Linked DNA regions of Saccharomyces cerevisiae S288C. Changing the gene in region 2 together with the main gene of any one other region gives a genetic interaction. Each region holds a gene or a part of one and is shown on either strand. Other genes may lie near its edges.

Evidence for each region. A genetic interaction does not mean that the proteins touch.
Region 1: of HEM13 (region 2) and HEM3, changing one enhances a phenotype caused by changing the other (phenotypic enhancement), as found in Saccharomyces cerevisiae (one study listed by BioGRID).

Annotation. Positions count from the first base shown.
Region 1 is NC_001136.10:92,247-95,300, forward strand, and holds HEM3 (hydroxymethylbilane synthase), read right to left. Parts: upstream 1,500-3,054; coding exon 516-1,499; downstream 1-515. Other genes in the region: YCX1 (Ycx1p), read left to right, coding at 1-218; YDL204W-A (uncharacterized protein), read left to right, coding at 1,887-2,039; RTN2 (Rtn2p), read left to right, coding at 2,359-3,054. UniProt on the Saccharomyces cerevisiae protein: Catalyzes the tetrapolymerization of the monopyrrole porphobilinogen (PBG) into the hydroxymethylbilane pre-uroporphyrinogen in several discrete steps.
Region 2 is NC_001136.10:544,902-548,166, reverse strand, and holds HEM13 (coproporphyrinogen oxidase), read right to left. Parts: upstream 1,526-3,265; coding exon 539-1,525; downstream 1-538. Other genes in the region: DNA-directed RNA polymerase III core subunit RPC11, read left to right, coding at 1-189.

The sequences.
Region 1 (3,054 bases), 450 kb from region 2:
GTGGCAGAGATAGTAATATTTTAATGCATCATATTGATTTTAAAGTGGATAAAAACTTAATCAATACTGGAGTCGGAATTCTGATCGCGTTTTTGATATTTACGGTTTTGATACCATTAAACGACTGGAAAATTGACAAGAAGATTAGTATTGCACTTCTTACGTTGTATATAGTTGTCACATGTATTAGTGTTTTTTTAGAAGTTCACCAAGTGTAATTTAATAAATCAAGATTTCATTTTTTATATACAAGCTATAATAAATATATTAACAACGAAGCTTGTATGAATAGTATAAAATAAACAAAGGTAGGAATTACATATTCTAATTGACAAAATATTTATGCAGTGGTCATTTGAAAATGGTCATTAAATTAAACAAGTAATATGAGAGGAATGAGAGGGAAATAAATAACTGAAAGATAAAGGAGATAAGGAAAAAAAAAAAAAAAAAAAAAAAAAAGGGAACTTTAGTTAGTAATAATAGAGTTTTTGGACTGATCAAATTAATGGTGTTCATTTGATTCTGTCTAAATTAATTTCATCCAGAATTTTCTTTGCGCCATCGGCAATCATTCTTTCAGCTAGTATCTTACCACACGCCATGGAATCTTCTTTAACATTTTCTATTAGCATTTCAATTTCGTCTTCTACTGCTTCTGTGCCTTCAACGTCAACTACAATGGCCTTTAATAGTAATTTTTTAGTCTCTTCATTGTATTTAGATTCCACACCAATAGGAACGGAACAACCCCCCTCTAAAGTTCTCATCAAAGCACGCTCCGAAAGGCAACATATAGTTGCATTTAGATCGCAAATTTCGTCAAGAATCTTCATCATCTTGGTGTCACCCTTTCTAATTTCTATACCCAGGGCGCCTTGTCCAACTGCATGGTACATTGTATCCGAATGGAATCGCTGCGTAATTCTGTTTTCCAACCCCATACGCATCAACCCAGCAGACGCCAAGATGATGCATTGGTACGGAGATTTTGGGTCGTCTAGTTTTTGTAATCTAGTTTGTATATTTCCTCTGACACTTTCAAATTTCAAATGTGGGTATTTTCTTTTTAGCTGAGCAGATCTTCTCACGGATGAGGTTCCCACAATCCCCCCGTCTGGAAGGTCATCCAGAGACTTATAAGCAGAGTAAAAGGGCATGACAAGACAATCTGTTGGATCGACCCGCTTAGTGATACCCCCCAGCTCGAAACCCTCTGGTAGTAAAGTGGGCATGTCCTTCAGAGAATGAACGATCAAGTCAAGCTTCTTTGAGGGATCGTCATGGTAAAGATGGTCTTCCAACTCCTTTGTCCATAAAGCTTTACCGCCAAATGAGTACAAAGGTTTGAATTGAATCTGGTCACCAAGAGTTTGCAAAGTGAAAACCTTGCAGTCGTAGTCCGGATACTTTTCTTCGATCAGTTTTAAAACATGGTTGGATTGTATTACCGCCAATTTCGATTTTCTCCCACCAATATGTAGAGTTTCAGGGCCCATAGTACGTGTGTATTTACCAACTACAAATTTATCTAGATTTTCTTCGCTTTTCTTTTTTTCTATTGTTCTAGATATTAATACGGGATGAGAAGAACAGAATATTCAAAATCTAATACAGCCCTGTACCATGCAAACACGAGCGTCAATCTGCCAATGACCTTGAATTCAGGCTATGTGTAGCAATAATACAGATAGTTAGTAGCCTCGTTTATATAAAGCGTTCCTTTACTTTTTCATTTTCTTTCTTTTTTTATGTTTGATTTTTTTACTTTTTCACTTTAAAAAATTGCTGAAATTTTCGTAGCCAAAAAAAAGACCTTCATTGCTTACTCATCGGTTTCTTATTGGTCAGACGCTCCCCAGGGTCAATTGACAAGGAGAGAAGGAATGTTATATGGGAATTGCTGCGTAAAGATGGTCAAAAATCCTGGACTGCCGTACGAACGACAATGTAAGGATGACTGCATTAGCCAGAAAGACATCTTTACCCCCGGTGCTGCCAGGGAGCAAAATAATTACGAAAAGTGGACGCAAAGTTAACTTAAACTACAAGGGTAGCAGCAGAATGTGTCGGTGGTACCGGTGTGATAATGCCCCATTTGAGATGCTTGTAATTGTGGCCTAGCAATAAGAACGCAAGGCGTTTTTGTTGAAAGGAGAACAAGGTTAGACGGTGACGTTTAGGCGCATAGGCAATCTCCCCTTATTGTTCACCCTTATTTCCACCCTCAAACGATAAAGCTTGCTACTTTGATGAAAAAAATATATAAAAGGGATTGAAAAGCAGATCAATTATGTAGCAATAGTAGTAATAACTTGTTCAATTGCTTGTCTCAACTTGCCACAAACTATCATCAACATGAATAGGAATACGACTACCAATAAGAACGCGAATTTGAATAACAGTAGAAATGCTAACGCTCCCGGTGAAGCAGGTCATCAGAACAAGACGGGATTGATATACTGGACTAACCCTAGCAAGTCGGGTGCGAGCTTTGCTGCGACTCTGGTGAGTTTGCTGATCCTCAGAAATGTCAATGTTATTTCTGTTTTACTTAAGATCGGATACATGGTGTTGTTCACGAGTTTTGCGGTGGAGCTTTCTACAAAGGTGCTATTTGATAAAGGAGTAGTGTCTAGGTTTGGCATGCAAGAGTCTCCGGACCTTGTTGGCGTCTTAAAGCCTCATATCGACCGCGAATTGGATCGTCTGCCTGCGTTAGAGGACAGAATCAGAAAGTTAGTGTTTGCACACAGAACAAGAAACAATTTTACCATTGGTGTTTCCCTCTATTTCTTGCACGGCCTATTTGCTATATTCTCTATGAACACTGTTTTGATAATGACCACCATCTTTTTGTACACTGTGCCTTTAATCTACGATAGAAAGCAGGCTAGAATTGACCGTGCTATCGACAGGATGAAGGATCTAGTTATTCATAGGTTTCACAAAAATTACAACAAGGTGGTTGAAAAGACTGAACCATACATTGACAAGATTATCCCACCCCAAACCGATGAAGGCAGCTACTCAACCTCTATCAGTAACGAAAAC
Region 2 (3,265 bases):
AAGGAAGTTGATGATGTTCTTGGTGGTGGTTGGGACAATGTGGATCAAACCAAAACCCAATGTCCCAATTATGATACTTGTGGTGGTGAGAGTGCTTACTTTTTCCAACTACAAATTAGGTCAGCTGATGAGCCGATGACTACCTTTTATAAGTGTGTAAACTGTGGTCATAGATGGAAGGAAAATTAAGAAGTCCTTGAATATAAGATGAATTTTCTAAGAATAAAAAGAGTAATAAAAACATCTTAAAATTTGATTAGAAGGCATGATCGCATATTGAGAATGAAGGCTGCTGCCATATTTTTAGAGCAATAGATACTGATATAATTTTTGATCCTGCACGTACTGTGAACTTGCATCATAAATAGGACGCAATAATTAATATTTTTAAGAATAGAGATCCTGTATCAATTGAATTTGAAGAATTATGTAAAGGAGGTATAATAAATAGATAAAAAAATGTATAAATAAGTGGTCGAAATAATTAAATCATCATTGTCATTGAGATCATAAAATCGGTCTGCTAAAGAACCTTGAATTATTTAACCCACTCTCTTGGTTTGGTGGTAACTTCTAGTAATTTAGCTTCTCTGGAACCAGGAGCAGGGTGGTGGTTGTATAACCATGAAGCATGTTCAGGCAAACTCATCAAAATTGACTCAACTCTAGAGCCTGGGGTTCTCAAACCGAATTGGGTACCTCTATCGTAGATTAAGTTGAATTCAACGTATCTACCACGTCTAATGGCCTGCCATTGTTGTTCTTCCTTTGTATATGGCATATCTTTTCTTCTCTTGACGATAGTCAAGTAGGATGGCAAGAAAGCATCGAAACAGTCTTCAACCATCTTCAATATTTCTTGTGGGTCACGTTCATCATAATCGTCAAAGAATATACCACCAATACCACGTGTTTCCTTACGGTGGGTAATGTAGAAGTACTCATCACACCATTTCTTGAAACGTGGGTACAAAGCAGTGTCGTGCTTGTCCAAGGCATCCTTGTGCAGTTGGTGGAATAATTGACCGTCTTCTTCGTATAAGTAAGAAGGTGTCAAATCAGCACCACCACCAAACCACCAAGTTTGTGGGGTCCCATCTTGGTTCCAAGTTTCGAAGTAACGGTAGTTTAAGTGCGTGGTTGGAGCGTGTGGGTTAACGGGATGAATGACCATACTTAAACCACAAGCGAAGAACTTGACACCGTCGGTAACTGGCAAACCAGTCTTTGGATCTTCTGGTAGACGCAGATTCTTATGATCAGCTTTCATGGCTGAAACGGCCGCTGGGCTCAATTGACCATAAACAACGGAGACATTAACACCACCTTTTTCGAAAGTTGTACCGTCTTGGATAACCATAGAGGTACCACCACCACCATCGTTACCACGGGTCCAAGTATCAGCGTGGAACTTAACAGTATCGATGGATTCCAAACCTTGCGTGATTTCAGCTTGTTTGCGACGGATAAGAGCTTCCATTTGTTGTCTAATTGGAAGATTCCTTGGATCTTGAGGGGCAGGCATCTTTATGTGTATTTAATTGTGTTCGAAGAGTTCGGTTTGCTATGTTTGATTTGCGAAAAGAAAGCTTTTGATATGCTCAAAAAAAGAAAACCCGGAGAATAAAAGCTTAACAAAGAAAGACAATAGGTGGAAAAAAAAAGGAAAATCCGTGTCCTTATATAGCCTTTCGAAACGAGAACAATGGGCAAAGCAAGCTTTATCTTCGGATCGTCCGTCAGCGCTTTGGTTGCAGTCTTATGCTTTGTTCAAGCTGGAGCGTTATTGGTGGGAGAACCAGAAAAGGCGAAAGCGTAGCGTTCTTTGAAATTTGGCTTCTGTTCCTGCGACTCGTTTAAAAGTAGAAGGGCCCGCGGAGCCGCTGTGAAAGATTTCTTTTACTCTTTCAGCGCAGAAATCTCGCAGGAGCTCAGCAGAAAGTGCCTATGACGGTAATCCCAGGGGCTAATGGTGTGAAGGCACTTTCTAAACAATTGAAATTAAAATACCGTGCCTATAGTAACTTTTTTTTACGCTGTGAACCGTTCAACACACAGTAAAAACTCCGCAGGAAATGGTTTGAAGAATCTTAATCACGAATTAGGCGTATTGTTTTTCCCAACAGTGAACGAGAGGACAAACTCCAGAGGATTTGCGGGCTTGATGATAAAATGTATTGTTGAAAAGATCGCGAATGCAACAATTACGGTGGGGAGAAATATCAACAAAAGGGCAAGGCTATGCCTTCTGGAAAGTGGCAGACTTGCACTTTCCTCGAAAAGAAAAATGACCGCAAGATCCGGTTGTTCTCAACCTTCTACATTAAGACATACTTCTACGATTTTCGAATGCCGAAGCAACTATCGCTGAAATTTGTCATGTCAAAATTGCTACTGGGGGAGAAGAATATATATGGAAGTAATTATTATTTACGTTGCTGAAATGGCAGGTTAGACGCATGTTTTGCAAAATAAGTGGTTTTGAAAAGAATTGATACTAGGAATCGGTGCAATACCTTCTACCTTTCTTAATAGGTATTCTTGAATAATCTACCTCACTTTCTGTCCCAGATACGAGATGTCGAGCGCCTCGAAAATAGATATCGTTTATTACGTTAGATACGGAAAGGTCTACGTGTCATAATAAATTGCATCTGGATTGCGATTTTGGGTCATGCCTAACTGGGAAAATATTTACATCTCCATGTTCTCATTCTGCCTTTGCTTTCCTTCAAAACATGGTTTTCAATTCAACCTAGGGTCTACCGCGGAACCATATGTACGCCGTAAATGCGAGTGTTCTTGAAAGGTAGTAATGTGTTCCCTCTCAATATGTAAGTCCTTCAAGAGTATGCACTTGCAGTTGCACTGTTTCGGGTAATTATCCGTCATTAAGAAAAAGATGCTTCCACTTTCTCGTGTTTTTACGCACAATCGTGCCATTTAACCGGAAATAGACTCCATTGCATTGATTGCTCTCATAAAAATTATAGCCCGCGTTTGATACTTGTTTAAAATAGGTGTCGACAAAGTTAGTTTCTGTCTTCCATTTAGTTTTTACAATATGACACGTCAAATAAATCTTTTCGATTTAGTTAAAAGAGTTACCTGGCGATAGCCTTCTGGTAAAACACCTATTCATAAAACAATCTTAAAAAACCAAAAAATTACCAAACAACTATGTAGGACATATTTTTACAGTTCATAAAAACGCTTCGAGCTGCCGATATCGGTATCAAACACCAAAATATACATAGTGCTGGTT